Linked DNA regions of Drosophila melanogaster. The protein of the gene in region 2 interacts with the protein of the main gene of each other region in a pairwise test. Each region holds a gene or a part of one and is shown on either strand. Other genes may lie near its edges. The genes, in order: PheRS-m, Cep290, Rtf1 and Lcp65Ac.

Evidence for each region.
Region 1: the proteins of Cep290 (region 2) and PheRS-m interact in a two-hybrid assay, tested with the Drosophila melanogaster proteins (one large-scale study listed by BioGRID).
Region 3: the proteins of Cep290 (region 2) and Rtf1 interact in a two-hybrid assay, tested with the Drosophila melanogaster proteins (one large-scale study listed by BioGRID).
Region 4: the proteins of Cep290 (region 2) and Lcp65Ac interact in a two-hybrid assay, tested with the Drosophila melanogaster proteins (one large-scale study listed by BioGRID).

The regions. Positions count from the first base shown.
Region 1 is NT_033778.4:13,966,744-13,970,446, reverse strand, and holds PheRS-m (Phenylalanyl-tRNA synthetase, mitochondrial), read right to left. Parts: upstream 2,140-3,703; 5' UTR 2,039-2,139; coding exon 845-2,038; intron 776-844; coding exon 608-775; 3' UTR 545-607; downstream 1-544. Other genes in the region: St4 (sulfotransferase 4), read left to right, coding at 1-93, 143-531; CtsL1 (cathepsin L1), read right to left, coding at 2,706-3,417, 3,478-3,692. UniProt on the Drosophila melanogaster protein: Is responsible for the charging of tRNA(Phe) with phenylalanine in mitochondrial translation.
Region 2 is NT_037436.4:841,922-849,930, reverse strand, and holds the start of Cep290 (centrosomal protein 290kDa), read right to left. Parts: upstream 6,006-8,009; 5' UTR 5,566-6,005; coding exon 5,248-5,565; intron 5,191-5,247; coding exon 5,017-5,190; intron 4,964-5,016; coding exon 4,556-4,963; intron 4,491-4,555; coding exon 3,665-4,490; intron 3,606-3,664; coding exon 2,671-3,605; intron 2,613-2,670; coding exon 2,480-2,612; intron 2,418-2,479; coding exon 2,264-2,417; intron 2,207-2,263; coding exon 1,520-2,206; intron 1,456-1,519; coding exon 796-1,455; intron 743-795; coding exon 610-742; intron 552-609; coding exon 1-551. Other genes in the region: Gr61a (gustatory receptor 61a), read right to left, coding at 6,520-6,600, 6,659-6,911, 6,963-7,117, 7,175-7,297, 7,354-7,520, 7,573-7,767, 7,817-8,008. UniProt on the Drosophila melanogaster protein: Essential for ciliogenesis in sensory neurons and spermatocytes.
Region 3 is NT_033778.4:22,373,258-22,379,017, reverse strand, and holds Rtf1 (Rtf1), read right to left. Parts: upstream 3,929-5,760; 5' UTR 3,827-3,928; coding exon 3,746-3,826; intron 3,635-3,745; coding exon 2,677-3,634; intron 2,611-2,676; coding exon 1,426-2,610; intron 1,369-1,425; coding exon 1,265-1,368; 3' UTR 534-1,264; downstream 1-533. UniProt on the Drosophila melanogaster protein: Plays a role in transcription-coupled histone modification. Required for methylation of 'Lys-4' of histone H3. Plays a role in regulation of transcription. Required for maximal induction of heat-shock genes. Plays a role in Notch signaling in the wing margins.
Region 4 is NT_037436.4:6,142,993-6,145,934, reverse strand, and holds Lcp65Ac (Lcp65Ac), read right to left. Parts: upstream 1,117-2,942; 5' UTR 1,025-1,116; coding exon 897-1,024; intron 827-896; coding exon 625-826; 3' UTR 542-624; downstream 1-541. Other genes in the region: Lcp65Ad, read right to left, coding at 2,049-2,244, 2,336-2,466.

The DNA.
Region 1 (3,703 bases), on a different chromosome or scaffold from region 2:
CAGTTTCCTACTACCATTTGAACAGACTCTTCCGCACCCAAGGATACGTCGGAGATTTTGAGCGTTACTGGCATTATTTCCAAAACGGATTAAGTAAGTGATCCTTCGATGGAGTTGCCATCCTTAACCAACTATCTTTCAGATCCCTGGCTGCCCTATTACAGTCACGTTAAGGAGGCGCGGGAGCATGCCCATTTGTCCAATGTACTCTTTCTGCGCTACGAAGACATGTTGGCTGATCTGCCAGGTGCAATCAACAGCATAGCCAGCTTCTTAGAGTGTCCACCGAAACCCGAGGATATGGATAGGCTACTCGATCATCTGAGCATCAGAAGCTTCCGTGAGAACAAGTCCGTAAACATGCACGAAATGGCTTCCGTTGGCGTTCTCAACAAAGGAGAGGCAGGATTCGTGCGCAGCGGAGCCAAGACAGCGTATCAGCCGCAACAGGAGTTCGTGGAGAATCCGAAGCTTTTGAAGAGCGCCAACGAGTGGGTGGAACAGAATATTAAATCATTCAAGACCATATGAAATACCTGACTTTGTTGGCTATCTTTACTGGTGTTTTTCTTTTTTGGTTTTGAATTGAAACGGAACTAGACTATGACTAACGTATTTGCACATTGAAACTATCCACGCTCGCACTAGCGATCTGCTTGTGGATTTCGTTGACCTCCGCCTGGGTTAAGGTGCGCTCCATATGGCGATAAACAATGCGGAAGCACACGCTCGATTTCCCCGTTTTCGGGTGCTTAAACTTGTCCACCAGACTGATCTGTAAGAAAAGTAAAGTATATGAGAAATACTCGTAACATATGATACGTTTGGGATAGCTAAGACCAACCTGCTCCACCATATCACCAGCTACAGAGCGGACTAGATCGTAAAAGTCGTTCGGCGAGAAGCCGGCATCCACCTCAATGTCCTGGGGCAGCCAGAACGACAAGTCATTCGTGCACTGCGGATAGTGGGAGATGGGCTTGTACTTGGGCAGATTGTGCAGATCCTTTTCGCTAAACTGCGACAGAAAGCCACTGTCGTTCGACCAGAAGAGCCGGATGTCAGGTATATCGAACAGCACCATGGCCAGTCGCTCCAGGCCGACGCCAAAGGCGTAGCCAATCGATTGATGAACGCCCGATCTCTGCAGGATTTCGTGGCGCATGATGCCGCAGCCTAAGACCTCCAGCCAGTTGTCCTTGAAATAGATCTCCAGCTCCCAGGAGGGCTGGGTGAAGGGAAAATAGGTGTCCACCCATCTGTACTTGATGCGCGGCCCAAACAGATCCTTGGTCAGGCCAACCAGCACGTGCTTCATCTCGTGCTCCATCAACTTGACGGCCTCGAGCGTGTGGCAGGGCTGTTTGGTTTGGTCCATGAACTTGGATGAGGGCAGAATCAGCTTGGGGTCGGCCAGCGTACCCGACCACGTCTCTTCAAAGAGTTCCAGGCCAGGATTGCGCTCGAAAAGCTTGTCTTTGGTGACCAGCCGCACAGCGTCCGCCTGGTGGAATACCGGATAGTGGGTGCTATCGATTTCGTCCCGTCGATACACCTCGCCCACGACCAGAAAGTTGTCCAGCCCGCCCGAGATCAATTCCACCTGATGGGCGGTGGTGTGGGCGCGCAGCAGATGCTGCTGATTGATGTAATAGCAATCGGATTTCTGTCGACTCACATGATCGGCGGGAATTAGCAGATTGTCAAAGTTCTGCTGCACAGTAACCACCGGATTCATTTGATCATAGACGGAGAATAGTGGATTGCCCCTTTGGTTGCGATACGCTCCATAAAAGTAGTTTACGATCCTCTGGCGGATGATGGAAAGCGGGTGGTCCGTCTGCAGGTGCTTGTTGGCCCCCACGTAGGAGAGTATCTTGGGCGTTACGTTCGTCCATCCGTCGGTGGCGTACGTGCTTCCACTGACCTCCAGCTGCGGTGGCGATGACGGCGACTTCGCGGGCGCCGCACTGCTGGCCAGGCAGCGGGTGGACTTCAACCAGTGCCGTGCTCCCTGCACTCGAAGCGTCAGAAGCATATTGGAGGGACTTTATTGATTCGATGCAACTATTTATTGCATTTTTTGTTATAACTTGGAAGTTATGTTATGTTATCAGATGTTATGTTAACATATCGATAATTTTCTACAGCAGTCGCAAGGCTTCAGCAGCACGGACTGTGCTGTTAGGCGCACACTAACAGAGCTGTTGGATAACCACCTGGCGCCATCTGCCGGAAAGCGAAAGTGTTGAACAGAAATTGTATGAAATTGTATGAATTGAAATGTATTTTTTAAATCAAAACTAAAAATTGTGAATAAGTAATCAAATATTACAAATTCAAAGCAAAATACATAAAATATATTTTTAAGGGATGTCTTGAGTGAAAAGAAACCAAACTTAGTTGACTGCAAAACTTTGATTTGCCAAAATAACTTCTCTCCCAATTCAAAAACTTCAATTTTTAAAATTATATAATTTTTATTTATTTTTCTACAAACATCAACAGATTTGTTGTTCACCTATATCATACATGATGGCAGAGAAACGCGAATACAATGGACCCATTACAAAATTAGTTCATTAAATATGAGGTTGGGCTAAATTATTAAAGTTCATTTTTGAGATGCTTGCGTTGGTATCTTTTCTGTTTCTTTTCTAAATCATATCATATGAATGCTGGGGCTAAACTACATCAGTTCTGCTCTAGACCAGGGGATAGCTGGAGGCGCTAGCGATGCCGCACTGGTTCTCCTTGTTGCGCAGCATCTTGATGAAGCCCTTGTCGCCCCAGGTGGTGCCCCACGAGTTCTTCACCAGCCAGTAATCCTCGCCGGACTCGTCGGTGCCGAAGCCAACGACCAGCACACCGTGATCCAGATTCTGGGCATCACACTGCGGCTCGTTGTAGACGCCCTCCGAGTAGAACTGGAACGACTCGTGGGAGGCATCGATGGCGACGGAAACGGGACCAACGGTGGCCACAGCCTCGGCCATCTTCTTCTCATCACCCTGGGGAATATCGGTGAATCCACGATCGGTGGCTCCGACTGTGCCCTTGTTAAAGTGGCACGAGTCATCGATGGCCTCGTAGGGATAGGACTTCTCGGTATCGATGCCTCCATTATCCTTAATATAGCGGAAGGCATTGTCCATGAGACCGCCGTTGCATCCATTGTTGCCGTACTTGGTGGAGCAATCGACCAGATTCTGCTCGGACAGCGAGACGAGGACACCGGACTTGCGGAAATGCTGACCCTCGAGGGCGCCTGTGCTGGAGAAGGCCCAGCAGCTGCCGCAGTGTCCCTGATCCTTGACGGCGGTCACAGCTCCCTTGGTGCGCCAGTCCACAGATTTGGGCAGCGTCACATGAGCCGGCGAGATGAAGGTGACTCCCTTGAAGCTTTCATCGGCGGCACTGAAAGCGAATGCAAAGTTGAATATGTGCACATTATAATCCTTAACGATCCCAACTTACCGCAGTTGCTTGTGCAGAGTGTAGTTGAAGCCGTTCATCAGCTGACGGAATTCGTGGTGCAGCAAATCGGCGTACTTATTGACCGCCAGTTTGAAGCTCACCTTGCCCTCGGCGAATCGCTGGTTGTGCTTGGCAATCTTGTGCTTGTTCTCATTGAAGATCTTGAGGCGGAAACGCTCCTCGGTTTCATCCTGATAGTTCTTGCGGTGCTCCAGCTGCATAATGA
Region 2 (8,009 bases):
GGACCGTTCCTGCCCAGCTTGGACTCCAGGATTTGCTTGTCCTTTTCCAAGCGCGCTATTGTGGTGCGCGCTGCCTGGAGAAGGGCACGGGTCTTCTCCAGCGCCAGCTCGGTCTCCTCCAGCCGGGCCTTGGTCTTCTCCGCCTGCTGTTGGTACCGCTTCTGCTTCTCCCAGAGCTGCACCTCATTGGCACTCCTCGTGCGCTTGGCCTCCAGGAGCGTCTGCTGTCGCTGCAGCTGGCCACGTGCCTCGTCCAAGTCCAATTCCAGCTGCTGGATTCTCTTCAGCTGGTTCTCGTTCTTAACCCGGGCATTCAGTTCCGTTTTAATGGAGACCACAGGGCGTTTGAGTAGCTGCTGGCGCAGCGACTGGCTGAGATCCCTGGCCTGCTTTTCGCGCTGGGTGACGTTGGCCAGCTGGCGGCGAAGTGCCTCCATTTGGGTGTGATAGATCTTGTTGGTGGCCTCGGTGCGGTTGAGATCGGCAGCCAGCTTGGCTATCTGGTCCTCCGAGAAGTTCGAGGTGTCTTTGATGTAGCGCTGCTGGTCGTCCTGCATGTTTAAAACTTTTAATAGTAGAGATGAATATGATGGTATTGCTGGGCATTACGTGGAAGTTCTTGAGTGTATCCATCAGATCCTTGATGTGCTTGTCCTTCTCATCCAGAAAGATGCGTAGCTGATCCAGTTCGGGATTCACGGTGCTTTCGACCGACTTCTCCCGCTCCTGGCACAGCTTCAACCTGTCGAATGTAACGGATTAAGATCATGCACAACTACTTACTTTACAACTTACTTCTCCTTTAGTATATCCACTTCCTCTTCCCTCGTCTTGAGGCTCCTTTCGCTGTACTCCAGCTTGTCCTTGAGATCCTTGATTTGCTTGTGCAGCGTCGGCACTTCCTTCAGCTCCTCGGTGTCCTGCTTCTCCTCCTCACCTTCGGGCTCTTCGGTAACTATGTTCTCTGGACCTGCTTCCACTGGCACTTCCAACTCTTCTTGGGGTGGTCTCTCCACTGAGCTGCTTTCGAAGAGCTCCTCGATCTTCTCATCCGTCAGCTCGTTGACCGAGCTATCGGAACTGGAACTGGACCTCGAATCCGTCGACGGGTTGCGCTCCACGGGGACCTCGGGTTTCTGTCTCAGCTTCTCCTTAAGGCCCTGAATCTCTGCATCCTTCGTCTTGATGTTGAAGTTCAGGTTGTTAACCGTGGCCCTCAGGGATTCGTTTTCAGCCACCTGTTTGCTAAGTGCTTGCTGACTCTGATCCCTCTCGGTTTGCAGAAGGTCCTGGTACTTTTGTATGGACTGGTCCTTCTCCAGGAGCAGGGTGTGGAACGAGAGTATGGTCTTCTCCACCACACCACCTTGCGGACTGGCGGACTCGCGACTCTCCGATCTGGAAGCCTCCAACTGCTTGCCAAGGATCTCGATGCGCTGGTTGGCTTCCTGCAGACTGTTGGGCATCACCATTTATAGTTGCAAATAGTTATTTACATTTTTTACTTGGGGGAACTTACGTTTCTTGCATTTTTTGTAGCTCCGCGCGGGAATCTCTCCTATTGTCCTCCACTGCATCCGCTGTCTGAACGGCTTGATTCTGCTGGCTGAGAATGCCATTGGTTTGGACTGCCGTCTCCGAGAACTCAACTTGCGCCTCCAGCGTTTGAGTGGCTGTATCCAGGTGCGGATGTTTTCGGAGAGGCGACCCAATGGGCGATGACTCCCTGTCTATCAACTGGACGGCCCTTCTCATGGCCAGATTAGGAGCCACTGCATCGGTATTCGTCTCTGCATCCACCTTGAGTTGACTTCTTGGCTCTCCTTCACCGAACAAGGCCTGGATGGTGCTCCAGTGCTCGGTGTCGGTGGCCTGGCTCATCCTCAACTCACCCAATTCCCGAACGAGCTCCTCCTGTTTGGCCTGCAGAATCTCGCAGCGCTGTTCCAAGAGTCTCGTCTGTGTTTCAGACTTTATGAGCTTCACCAACTGCTGGGAACTCTCCTCGTTGAGACCAATTTTGGCCTGGACCACGGCGGTCACTTCATCAATCAGAGCGGTGTGATCTCTATGTCGCTGCTGCACTTGCTCCTCCTCCAGGCGACGCTGGAACTTTTGGTAGGCGAACACAAAGTTGGTAAGGAAGACCAGTGGCGTGAATTTGGCATATTTATCTTTGAGCATAAACAATGAATGCTGGAGGAATCTGTGGGATTTGGTAGAAAGTCAGATCTGCTAGGGATTATCCACCACTTGGTCTCACTTGTGCTTAATATCGCTATTGGTGCGCTCCTGCTGGAAGTCCTGTTGCGTCTGTTTCAGGGATAACTCGCTGGCCTCCAGTTGGGTTTGCAGGCAGTCCGCCTTTAGCTGCAGTTTTTCTCGCTCTGTTTCCAAGCGGGAGCACTCGGCTTTCACTAAAAAAAAAAAGAGAGACATGCTGGCTACTGATCTTCTCCTCGAATAAGTCTGTGCTTACCACTATCCAGATCCCTCTGGACCTTGGCCAGCATTAGCTTCTCGTCGGAGCTGCTCTGAAGATCGGCCACCAGGTGACGCAGATTGATGTGGTTATCGGTGATCTCATTGAGCAGCCTTTGCTGGGAGTGAATCTGGAAAGAGGATGGGCATTAGATCTCCCATGGGTAGGTATCAAGGAGAATCTCCAACCTGCTCATTGGCCACATGGAGCAGTCCTTCCAGCTGCTTGGTCTCCCTCTGCAGCTCCGCCTGCTTGCTCCTCCAAGTGAGCAGCTCCTGTTGCTGCTCCTCGAAGTCCTGGGCTGTGATGTAATCCAGCTGATAGTTCTCCCTGATTATACCGTACTCAGCGCATATTTCCGTGGGCTTCAGCTCGCCCAGCAGTTGCTCCATCGCCTGGCCAAGTTGCATGCTCAAGATGGCATTCCTGTGCTCCAACTTTTGCTGCTCCTCCGCAGTGTAGAGATTCCTTCGATTCACTTGCTCCAACTCCTCTCTAGCTTCACATAGTTCACTCTTGCTATGCTCCAACTGCCTGGCTAGAGACGCCTTATCATCTATGAAGCGAAGTTCCTGCTTTCTGGTCTCCGTCAGCAGTTGATCGTAATCCCTGCGCATGTAGGAGTAGGAATTCCTTTGCTGCTCCAACTGCAACTCCAAAGCGATCATTTGATCGTGGAGCTCTTGGTTGCGATTCATCAGATCACTGCCATCGGCGGACATATGAAGACGAAGTTCGTCGTAGTGCTTGCGCAGAATGGAGAGCTCAGCCAGGGCCTCGTTCGTGGGTTTCTCCTCGGGATCTGGTACAGTGGGTCTGCGTAATCCCATCGTGGCTTCAGTGGGCGAGCTTGGCCTGGTGGCTGTGTTCAGCACAGCATCCTCCTCGACAGGATGCTCTTCTGCAATCTCGGGAACCTCGCACAGACTATGCACAGAGGACAGTTCTCCCGTCTCGGAGTCACTGTAGTTCTGCTGCTCGAGCAGCTGACGCAGTGCCTCCTCTCGGGCCTTCAGCTCTAGGAGCTGACCCTGGAGTCGCTGCGGAGTGGTCGTTCCGCCGGGCAGAGCTTCGATGAGGCGGCGCAAGAGATCGGAATCGATGGTTATGTGCTCTGAGGTGGCTACATGGATAATGTTTAATACATATAGTTATTCAAGAAATATGTTATGGTTATCTCACCATCATATTCCCGCAGCTTCTCCAGAATCTCGTACATGCCGGAGCGTAGTGTTTCATTTTCGGCCAGGACTTCGTCGTATCGATTCTGCATCTCGGAACTGGCTGCCCCGTCGCCTTGGCCACGTCTCGGCGAATTCTCCAGATGCACACTATGAGGCACTTCACCCACTTCGCTGGGCGCCTGCAGCGATTCGTTCAAGGTCTGCGGACTGTCCTGCTGCAACTCCAAGAGCTTCCGCCTAAGTTCACTCTTTTCCAACTTCAATTGCAGACGCAGCTCCTCGGATGTCCTCAGCTTGAGGGTCAGTCGCTCGATCTGCTTGTCCTTGTTGCGCTGCTTGGAATGGACGTTCTTGGCCATGATGACCACATCGTCGGGGATGTGAAGTTTTCGCCGCAGCAGCTCGTTCTCCTGGACCACCTCGTGCAGGGAGTTCAGCTCCTGGATGTAGGCCCTCAGCTGCTTGTCGCGTGCTGCCACCTTCTGTTCCAATCCCGAGCAGCGTCGCAGAGCGGGAATGAGGCCATCTTCGTCACGCTTGTAGGCCTCCAGGGCACTAATGGCGTGCAGGGCCTGCTGGGACTTGAGCACGTTGTCCTGCTCGGCGGCCTCCAGCATCTCCGAGAGCTGCTGACACCGGGCGGTGGCTTCCCGCAGGCGCTCCTCGATCATCTGGCAGCAGGCTCGCGGCTGCTCGGGATCGTGGGCTCGCTCCTTCTCCTGACACAACTGGTTCATCGCACGCGTGGAGCTAACCATCTCCTCCGCCATTGACTTGATCTTCTCCTCCAGCTTCTCGATGCGTTGTTCCCGGGATTCCAAAAGCTACGAGGGATGAACATTTAGCGAGCTCAAGATCTAGATAAAATATATCGGCAGTTCATCCTTACCTGTCGTAGTTTGGCGTGCTCCTCCTCCTGCTGACTCTGACTGTTGGAAGAATTGGTTTGGCCAGAGCTGATGCTTTTGCCCTCCAGTTGTTTCTTGAGACGCTCCACCTCCTTGTCCCGATCGTCGAGCGCCTGCCTCCAGCCCAGCGACTTGGCCTCGTATTTGTCCAGGAACTGACGCATTTCCACCTCCTGCTTCTCGCGCTCCACCTCCAGGAAAGTTAGATTTCCTTCCAGGCGAGTGATTTCCAGCGCCTGCTGCTGCTCCTTTTGTTTCAAGGACTTGCGCTCCTGCTCCACCTTGGTGATGTCCTGGCTCAATTGCACGAGATTCGCCTTGATGGTCTGCAGCTCCCGCTCGTGGAGCACTATGGTCTTCGATTGAGCTATGTTTTGGTTTTGCAGTGTCTGAAAGGGAATGAATATAGTATATTCTGAATGCAAAACATAATATGACTCACCTCGATTTCCTTTAGCAGCCGCTTGATGTGCTTGTTCTTGGAGTCGATGTTCTGCAGCAGCTGCTCCTGCTTGTCCAGCTCGGACAGGGGATCCGATGAATCCTTGTCGCTGATTTCCGCCTGCTGCGCCGCCTCCTGCAGGCGCAGCTCCAACTGACGGATTTCCTCCCCCAACTAGTGAGAAAAAAGCGTATCCTTGAGCTTGGGTACTTTACATGATCTACTGCTCACCTCCTTGGCTTTGCTCTTCAGGCCATCGCGTTCGTCCTCCAACTTCTGGAGCATTCGCTTCAGCTTCTCATTCTCATCCTGCAGGCGGCGGTCGGAGGAGAGTCCTCCGGCTGCTGATTCCTGCAGCTGCTGTACCTGCTCGCCCTTGTACTCCAAAACGGCCAGGGTGAGTTCCAGGGTTTTCCTCAGCGACTTCTTAGGCAGCTCATCGATGGACTCGGCCAGTTCGAGGAGCGTTTCGTAGAGCTCCTGCTTCTGGCGCGCCGAAAAGTCGCGGAACTTGCGCAGGGATACGGTCTCTGGTATGTCCATGCTCATCCTGGTGGCTCATGGCCTCGCTCCTCGGCGGTTACTCACGTTCTGCGTCCAAATATTCCCCGATTTTCCACACCAGCTCTCCAGTTTTTCCGGTTGCCATGACACTTGGCCCAAAACAAACTACGACTGAAAACCCATTCGGGGGTTGCTTTTCCGGAAACGAGGGTGCCGGCGCGCTCCTTTCAAGTGACCAACCTGCAGGACCTTTGTTTTTGCTGGCGTTCTGTTTTGCTAGCTGCTTCGGCTGCGTAGAAAGTTTCCTGACAGGATAATTGCCTCAACGGCGGCTATAGCGGCAAGGATCGGCGGTGGGAGCAGCCGGTGGCCCACCACAAACAAAAATGGCAATCGGTAACCAGGAAAGTGTTAATTGGCAAAGTGTCAAAGGCCGAGTTTTGAAATTGAAAAGCCATTTCTGTTCGAAGCGACTTTTCCGCCGCCTTCTCGTGTTTCTGTTAACTTTTCTTACACTCGAAAAAAAAATGGTATTTAGTTCAGAGCACACCAAGTGGCTTTTGAAAGGGTTTAGAAGTAAGCAGTAAAGATAAGATTATTATTATTTAGAACTTTAGCTTCCGAACATATTTTTCAGTGCACTCCAACTCCTTTCTCCTTTCAAAACTCATCGAGTTGCCTTCAAAATTACGTTTGCCTACATGTGTAGCAATAATTGAAACTAATGGCAAGCGACTTTGGTTGCCCTCCCATTTGTGGATTCGCCCTCGCTGAATGACAGCTGGCCAAAAATTGAAATTGAAATGACACTCGGAATGGCCAATTATCCTGGAAGCCTTTTGGCCATTTAATAACCGCCCGAGTCGGGTTGGCTGAACTCACACATGAGCTGCTAACTGACTTTTCCTCGCAGGAATCTACCCTTTTTCAAATCTGATTATCTGACTATTTTATTATACATTCAGTTAAGTTAAACTGGACTAAAGTTCACTCATTTAGTTACGCGCACCGCAGTCCCTTGTGGCTCTTAGCATCTATTTGCAGCAGCATAAGTTCGTAGGTCACCAGGGTGGCTAGCATCTGGAGAGGATGGCTGGGATCAGTATGGGAATCGTGAAGACTCGTGAAGTTTACCCACTCCGAAGAGACTCTTTCTTGTCAAGCAGAAGAGACGATATCCAGACAATCCGACAAACTCGCTGGTCAGCTGGTCGGCAAATCTCTGCACCTCCTGCGTCCAGCCATCGCTGGGCACCAAGTACAAGGACCTCAGGGGCAGAAGCGAGGCATCGTGGATCTTGGAGGCAGTCATGAAAACCAGACTCGTCCTGGCCAGCAGGAAGATCAGCGAGTACCAGAAGTAAACGTAGTTTATGGGATGCCGCAGTTTGCTAAAAAGATTTGAAATGAGACTAGGGGGTAGCTACAAACAGATGACTCACGTGAAAATAGCCAACGCCTGGTTGCAGATCACATACACATTGTTAGCGCAGGATACGAACACTATATTCGACATGCTGGCCTCCACCAAACTGGCCAGCTCGCAAAGGCGAATGTGATCCCTCCGAATGTCGTACCACAAGGCTTCGGGAACATGCTAAATGGGATGGGGATTTAAAAGAGAAATACATTGAAATAGTTTGGATTATTTTACACGACCCTCCAGTGCGCCAACTCGAGCGGCAAACTGTTGAAACCTTTGCGCCAGTCCAATACTGGTCATCACAATAAAGATGTCCATGAAGTTCCACAGAAAGGTGAAGGCTCCATTTAGCCACTAAAAAAGAGAGCATTATTCAAACTAACTAACTAAAATATATATAGTTAACTTACAAATCCATAGCACATGGAAAATATATTGAATGGCATGATGAACATGATGTCGGAGAACTCCTTCTCCAAATAAAGTCCAAAGGTAATACGCGAGTGGTTTGTGTGGCACTGCAGGATGTGCATGCTATAGCTGCAGTAGCCAGAGGCGTAGTACAGCATGTGGTCGCCTGAAAGAAAGTTCTTCTGGAAACCATTGAAAGGATAACCCAGAAATCTCACCTACTGCCAGGACGACCACACTCAGAGCAAGGACGTTGACCTTTGACCGAAGGCTTCGCTTGCCACGTTTGTAGGGCGGAAAGAGCATCAGAATGTCCACCGAACTCCAGGGCAGCATTATGTGCGACCAGGAGCGAGCAAAGCCCACGAAGTTTAGCCAGTTGACCATGCCCACGATAAGGAAAACCAAACCCACTATTGAGCTTTCAGTTGGGATCACACTACCATACCATCTAAAACTCACCGATATTCTTGGCATTCAGACCCTCTGTGAAGAGAATATTGGCACCGACCAAGGTCTTCATGCCACCGAGCAAAAGGAAGAGACCGGTGACTGCCAGGCCAATGCTCCTTACCTTGAACTTCACATCCTGGGGATCGCGACTCCGGATATTCGACAAAGGCATAATGCCGAAGAACTGCGCCACACACAGATC
Region 3 (5,760 bases), on a different chromosome or scaffold from region 2:
TGATCGGATCAGTCACATTCACCATTTGGAAACAATATGTTCGGCACGGCGAGGTTCCCAAAAAGACAGAACGAAACAACTTGGAAAATATTCGAGCGGAAGTGCATTATATAGCGATCAATTCAAGTTTATTTCAAATTAGCATCCTATTTAGCATGTATTTCGATCGATTGCAGCGGAGTTAGCTCGAATATGCCTTTCAAATATTGACCGTTAAAGTCTCTTTATATATTTGCAGATCTTGAAAAACGTTTTTCCCTCTGACGAAACGCGATTGTGTTCAATTAAAAGACAATTTCATCGAATTAATTGAATTAATTTGGTGAGAACATGAAAGGAGTCAGCCAGCTGCGCAAACAGACTGCAAACCAATTAAGAGGAGCCAACTGTCCAACAGTCCAGAATGGTGACCATAAGTTTACTTTTCATTGGTGCTTATGTGGGAATAGGCGCCAAGTATACAAGATAACAAATCCTATACAGTATCCCAACACTAGATCAATAACATTATTTAAGTCTTTTTCTTTATTATAAATAATATTTATATATGTATATTTAAGTATATGAAAGCTGTTGCTACAACTGATGAATTTTGCCTTAATCTAATACAGCATTGAACGGTTACAACCAACGGATACATACTCGCTTGAATGAGTCTTATATAACCCTTTCAATAATCCTCTTCATATTTGTCCATGGAATATCCTTCAAATTTGCCATTTGCCTGAGTAAACGATTAAGTCTTCGCTGAAAACTAATTCCGTATTAATTATGTTAGTTGTTAATTTATGGAACAAATCGTTGGAAATGATTAGGCTGGATGGGGTTTTACTCTTTTCGTTATAACATTTTTAGCTTAAAACTTTAAAAATTTCACAATATATACTTAAATAAGTTCGTTATCTGCATAGGCATTCCAAATGTTCGAAATTACTGTTGATTCTTAAGTGTTGCTTGCATAATTTTTCTAAAAATTATATCATAATAGTGAAACAAAACAAACACAAACAGAGAAAGTATCCTCGATTGGGATATTCAATTCGCCCGACCTATCTAAAACTTTCTGTGTCAACCTTATTATATATATATATGAACTGTAACTATAAGCCGAGCTGATTGCCCGTCGTTTTTTTTGTTGCTCTTTAAGTTGGTTGAGTCGTTGAAGCAAACGATCGCTGTATTCATTTCATTTGGGCACTACACTAAACTAGGACGTAAACATGCGACGCTTTGTCAGTATATGTATGACCAGCGGCATCCTTTTCTAGATAAGACCGCGCTTTTTTTTGTAATCCTCTAGATTCAGCGAACGTTTGGAGACTGTTTCAGCTGGTTTGCTAGCCGGCTTGGGCACTGAATTCGTATTGACTAAAAAAGAAAATGGTTATGCCCATTGCTCAACTGCAGAATACGTTAGTTACATACCTGGTAGCGGAACATCTAGGTCAATGTCAAAGTCATGCAGTGAGTAGAGACTGTAGTCCTTGGAGTCCGTGGACCTGACGCTTGCACTCGAAGTTCCTGCTTCGTTGGGCCTCTTTTTTCCTGGGGGTGGCGGCGGCAGTGGTGCCAGTTGCATGTCATCTTCGTCCTTCTTGGCACCCTTGAAGCCCATGCGCGGCTGAGTAATGCGACGTGTGAAGGGATCCGAGATCTTGAGGCCTTTGTTGGCCCGAGCCTCCTCTAAAATTGCCTTCTCAGCGTCCTCCACATTCTTCTTCCTGTTCCTGTCGTTTATGTAGGAGATCAGATTGAGGGTATGGGATCTTCTTTTGTCGAGCTCAGAGGCTCGGTTCTCCAGCTCGTCGATTTGCTGTCCCAGATCCTGTGCAATGTCGTAGTCACCCCGCAACATGGCTGCATCTCGCTCCTTCATCAGGCAGGTTTTCTTCATCGCATAATTGGTGGGTCGGTTCCGGAAGCGGTTCTTCTCCTCCACGATCTTGTCCACGTCCTCGTCCTTGAATTCGTAGTTCAATGCTTTTTTGATGTCGTTCTGCTTGATCGCTATTAGATCAATCGTTGGCATCTGGACGTGCGACTGCTGGCAGACCTCGTTCCACTTGTTGAACTCGTTCTCCGTAAACTCCTGGTTCGAAATGAACTCGAGTCGGAAGACCCGCTCCTGGGTTCCGTGCTTAAGTCTCAATCCACGATTGGTTCGTGTAGTGCCCAGACTGTAGATCTTCCCCGTCTCAACCACTCCCACAATTTCGGCCACTCGATACACGGGTTTCTGGCCATTGTTTCCGATACTTATCCGGACAAAGCAGTTGAGTACAGTGCTCTCAAAGATTGGCAAGTTCACAAATCGCTCCATTTTGTAGCGAGATAGACGCAATTTGTTAAGATCCTCGCGTGTGGTTATAAAAACGGGCCGCTGAGGCGCCTTTTCTTCGTCCTCGGATTCGCTGGAGGCCTTGCTGCTGTTGGAACGTGAACGTTTGCCCGCGGGCTTTTCTTCCTCATCCCAATCGCTGCTGCCTGAGTCGTCAGAGTATATTTCAGAGGCTTTCAGTTTCACGGCCGATTTACAACCAGATACGCTATCGAGTTCCTCTTTGTCGTCATCACGATCTTTTTCTGCCATGCGTTTGGCTTCCTCCTCTTCTGCAAGGTGAATGGAAAAAACAACACATTAGAGTCGTATGACGATTATGATCGACTGATGCTTACCTCTTTTAGCCTTGCCCTCTCTTTTGGCTTTTAATAAGGCCATGGCATTGCTCCTCTTGTCGTCCGTCTTGTTGGCCTCCACGTTCTTCTTGCGCTCCTTGGAACGTTCCTTGTGATCAAAGTAATCAGAGACGCCAGCGGAGGAAGCTGCATCGTCGGGCATAATACTGGCCACTGCCGCTGAAGTGGAAGCCGCATCTCGGTTAAGGGCAGGCGTGGACAACGGACTCGCTGACCGTACTTCGTTGCTGGGCTTGGGTTCGACATCTAAAAGTGTGGATGTGGAAGCTTGAGTTGGCAAGGGCGCCTGGGCTTCCCTGGCTTTCCTCGCCTTCTTCTCGCGCTTTTCCTTCTTCTTCTTGGCCCGTTCTCCTTTGTTCTTGGACTTTTCTTGGTTTTTCTCGCCGCGCCTTGCCAGCTTCAGTTTCCGTTCGATTTCCCAGCGCGTTCGCATAATCTCGCGCTGCTCAATGCGCTTGTAAATTTCAGTTTCACGCTCCTTCTCGGACAAACCATTGAGACGCCTTCGATCCTCATCATCGCCCATGAGGTCATCATCGAACCCGTCGTCAAATTCCGAGTCGGAGCTGGAGGAAGAACTAGAGGAGTCGGAGCCGGATGAGGAGGAGTTGGACTTGGACTTGTCGGAATCGCTATCGGAGACCTCGCCCTCCTCCTGCTCGCTGAGCTGGGCGGGCTGGGAGGCCTGCTCCGGGGGCTTGTGCTCCTGTTGCGTCTGTGCAGGACTCTGCCTCGCTGGCTGCCTCTCATCCTGACTGTCGTCATCCCAATTGGACTCCGAGGAGCTGGAGTCTCTGCTGGGCTTCTGACGCTTCTTCTTCTTGGACGAGGGAGCTCCAGCTTTGTTGTTGGCCCAGTCGGAATCAGAGTCGGAGCGGGAACTTGACTTGGCCGCCGTTTGGGGCTTCTTTCGCTTCTTGGCGAGCGACATCAGGTCCTGGGGATTACATATAAGGTGTATTTTCAGTATTTATATTGATTTTCGTTACATCGCAATATGGAGAAAGGGGCGCGGATGATGCATTTGATCTATTCTATAGCCACTCACCGATTCCAGATTGGTCTCGGACTCGCTGTCGCTATCGCTGGAGTTGGAGTCGATCAGGGATTGCGTCCGCCGTTTGCCCATTTCCGATCGTTTCCTGGCCTTTACTTAATAATAAAATTTAACCAAATCAGAACGAAAAAATTTTAGTGCGTGCCGTTGGAGATGGCAACGAGTGTGATATGGCCTATCGGGATTTTGTCTGTCCTCGCTACGTGCTATCGATATGCTAGGGCTGGCAACAGTAATCGAGCTGTCAGCTGTAAGCGCGGGAAAACTATTTGATCCCAGGGAACACATTGAGTGGGAACAGTTTCAAAAGGGATTCAAGGGGAATCTCCGACTTTTATTTATATTTTTATAAATAAGCAACAAATCGTGTTTTCAAATTCACGTGTAGCTTAAGTGAATTTACCCAATTGGATTCAGTTTATTTTATGTAAGCAAGTTATTCTAACTTAATAGTAACAATAATAATAGCGAATATAAACAATTGTATATCTTTGTATCCTTGACAACTATCTTCGAACTCATTTTGCTTGTAAAATTGTTAAAAAAAAAAAAACAACTTAAAACGAATAGTAGTCCCTTTGATTGATTCATTTTAAAATATCAGACTCTCCTTTTTAAGTAATTTGGTACCCTTGTATGTCATGTGACACCCTTAAATAATCGCTTATTTTGAACTCGAGCCCAATTCCTTTTGGAGTTTTTTGAGCTCGGACAGGACGCGACAGGACCTACCACCCACCACTGCGGGGAAATACCTTGCGGCTGGTGCAGCACGTGCACATTTTGCCGCGCTGTCGAGCGCAACACTGAATCACACTTAAAGCAGAGTTGAAAAAATACGGCGAAGCTGTTCGAGCAAGGTAAACATAAGGGGTGGGGTGGGGACGTGGGTGGAGGTGCAGGGGAATGGAAATGCCGGCGGCGGCAGAATTGAAATGCAAATTTCGGCATCCCCATTATCCCTATCCCAGCCCCCTTCAATTTGCATGATGATACCGAATGGCTGGGCGGGAATGCTGACTTTGTGTACCCTGTAATAGGCAAACATTTGTCTGCACGCTGGTAAGTGGGTTATGTACTTGTTTGTGCCCCACGCAAAAACACATTTTGAAAACTAAATTAAAGCCACACCTGCTGCCCCCCTTCCCCACACATAAAATAGCTTACAATCAATATTAATTAAAATGCAGGCGTTTTCCAGGTCCCTCGAGCGCGCTTTCCCTAAGTTCATGCTGCCAGCGGGGGCGAAAGGGGTGGGTTTTTTTTTGGGGGGTGGAGGGTGGAACACGCACCCACATACGAACTTTCATAATTCGCCTTAAATGCTGCGTGGCAATTTGCAGTAGCAGCAGTTGTAGCAACAATAACAGCGCCACGAGGAAGCCCATTGCACATTCAACAAAGTGCACATTCTGCAGCAACAACGACTACGACGAGAGCAGCAGCAATGCGACAACTCATGAAAACAACCAACCCGATGCCACCGCCCAACCGAAAAACCATATTTCAAAACAGTGAGTTCTCAACGTGATGAACAAATAAATTATTTCTTCTGTTACTATAAATCTCTTTTTAAAATTGTGTGCTTCACTTTAAAGATGCCTTCAATAAGACCCTTCGAAACATAATAAACATTATGAACTACCCTTGCCCGTAAGTTTCTCAATTCCTGTAAACAATATATTTTCCCATTAATTTGTTGATCTGCGGATTCTGTAATACAAGACCATTTCGCAGCGACCCCTGTAGATGGATTTCGCATTAACCACCCAACCCCCGACGATCCACCCTCGAAATGCCGAGCTCGGAGCTTTGAAGCTCAGCTTTGGAGCATGCGCAGCAGAGCGAGAGAGTGAGGGCGGTAGAGAGAGAGAGAGAGAAAACAAGAGCGGCGAACGCCCAAGGGGGTTGTCCCTGCCCCCCCGCTTTGTTTTTGCCATTTTTGGGTTGAAAGCTCTTGTCCGGCGGCGCTGTTGCGTTGGCGTTGCGTTTTTGTTGCGCCGGCT
Region 4 (2,942 bases), 5.3 Mb from region 2:
AGCTTCATACTATTGTCGCCCAACCGTCTGCATTCAATGGCTGCGTTTGGCCGAAGATGAAAGGGATGAAAGCGGTCCACCGGTCGCTGATCTTTGAGCAATCAAGAGCTATTATTTTTCAATCTACCTTATATTATTCAAATTCCGCAGAAGAGTTTTCTTATTGCTAATAATGAAAACGGTTTTAGGTAGTATTGGGACACTGTGGATTTGTTTACTATTTGACTCCATCTTAGTTAGCATATGTTATCTGTTATGACTTGCATATTTATGTAGTTTATGGGTTCCAGGCAATGGCCAATGAATTAGGGTCTCTACATTGGAACTCTTAATATTGTGCCAATAAAGATGAGAACGTGTAAGTGTTACTAAATGCAATCAATATTTCTATGAATCATGGGTTTTCCTTTCTTTAGGGTTTAGGAAAGACTTTTGTTCATAATATTCTTAGACAAAGTAACTGACATTTGCGTTAATTAAATTTCAAGCAAATCATTAAATTTTATAGATAGACTTTGAAAAAAATAAAAGGTATTGAGTTCGATTTTTTTGCCGCGTTTATTTAATAATCAACTAGAAACCATTATACATAGAACAGCTCTCGGTTAGCGTATCCGTATCCGCTTAGTTGCCGATGGGCACATTGGGCAGATGGGCACCCTCGGGCTGGAATCCGTTCTCGTCAGCGATGTAGTTGACCGTGTAGGTCTGGCCATCATCGGCCACGAAGGAGTAGGATCCGCGGACCACGATGGCCTCCTGTTCGGTGCCGACGTTCTTGAGCTGACCCTGCTCCTCGTGCTTCTTGCCGTCGCTGGTCTCCAAACTGTGGGAGAATGGGTATTTAATCCTTGGATAATCGTCGCACCGAGCTGACCGGAGTTTGATACACTTACGCAAAGTTGTAGCCCTCCGGCTGGACGTCGGACTCCAGACGCAGGATCTGGGTATCCGCATCGGGAGCGGGGGCAGCCAGAACGACGGCGAAGAGAGCGGTGAAGACGATGGCAACTGTGCACTTCATGTTTTTCTTTTTGTTTTGGCTAATTTGGCTAAGGATTCGATGGGAACTTGCGACCGAACGGCTAGTCAACGTTACTTGATTTGTGATGTTTATGGCCCTGTCCCGGCGTTTATATAGTCGGATCGGAGGCCGACAATCGAAGAAAATTTAGTCGAAAATAAAAATGACTAATTACACGCCGAGCACCAAAGCCAACAAATTGGCTTGAAAAACGCACAAAAACATCATGAAAAAATCACAACAACCACACCAAGACGCAAATAATAATTTAAAACAAAAACTTCTAAGGCAAACAAATCGACGCCGTTTTTAGGAAATACCTCATCATCATCATTTGCATTTTTCATGAATCAATCAATCCAATAGCTTCCAAGTCGAAGACAACAAGCCAAACATTTTTGATAATCCATGGGTATATGCATATTTTGTGGTAGAGTGGGGCGGCTAGGTTGCCCTGCAGCAAAAGAAGCAGCATGTCCAGAAATGGCAGGTGATTCGAATTGAAAGCCCGTTTCAGGTTTCAGATTTATAGTTGAGAGTAAAGAATTTAAAATTATGCACTTTTTCACTTCCTCTGAAATCTAAATAGAATAAACTGGATATTTTAGAACATAGAAAATATCTGTTGTGCTACACCATTTGTAACATTTGTTCATGATAATATTTAAAATAATATACTACTAACAGTGTAAATACTGTAAAATAAGCATTTATATAAAAAGACCAAAGTTTATTTCTATTAAATTAAAACCAAAGCGGAATATGTATTTTATGCAAAGATTTTTTATTTATATTTAAAAACTTTCTTTAATTTATGAAACCCTTTAATCACAACTTTTACAGAACAGTGACCTTTACGATAAAATAGCTAGGTCCCAAAATGAAGTGTACACAGTAAGAATTTAAATGAATGATGTTACTTTAATATTATGATGTTCTTCAGACGAAACTTAGACATAGTTAACACATTTGCGCTGAATTGGAACTTGATTGGCGAATGACTTTCAATCGGATTCCCTGGGATTCACTGAACGGGCCTGGGCAGATGGGCACCCTCGGGCTGGAAGCCGTTCTCATCGGCCAGGTACTGAATGCTGTAGGTCTGACCATCGTCACCGACATAGGCATAGGATCCGCGGACAACAATTGCTTCGTGATCGGTGCCCACGTCCTTCAGCTGGCCTTCCTCCTGATGCGACTTTCCGTCGCTCGTCTCCACGCTAAAGAAAACCAGAAACCGGTTAGCAAACGACCTTGACACAGTTGGAAACCTGGAAATCTGGCCGAATCTGTTGAACGACAACCACTTACGCAAACTTGTAGCCCTCGGGCAGGACATCGCTGTCGAAGCGCAGCACCTGAGCATCCTGCTGGATGGCTGGAGGAGCGGCCAGTGAGCAGGCAAGGATACAGGTGAAGGCGATGGCAATAGTGAATTTCATTTTGCAGCTGGAATGTGGCTGATGGGGATTGGGTGACTCAAGTGATGGGTTCGAGGAGTGTGCAGACAATGCGTGCAATTCTCTTGCCGAGTGGCGAATTTATACTCCTTCGGCCATGTAATGCAATGCGTGTAAGTGGCAATTAAGGGAGCAAAAGAAACCGAGACCCAAAAAAAAAGTGAGAGTGGGAGTGGGAGAAACCAGTTTGTCGTTTTGTTTCCTTTGACCCACACTGGTTACCTAACCAGTTGCTGGATGCTTCGGCTCGGCTTTGCCTGTTTTGCGATTGATTGATTGCCCAGCGACAAGATACACAGATTTCATTTGTCTTCGACAAATTAACTACAATGTGCGCCCTGCCCAGGCCATGAGTTGCGTTAGTTGGTCTTAGAAATAGTCAATAAACTGTGAAATTGGGTCACATCGAAATTGGGCTCAAGTGCAGGCGAAATGAAATGCTCGGCCTAATAAAAAGC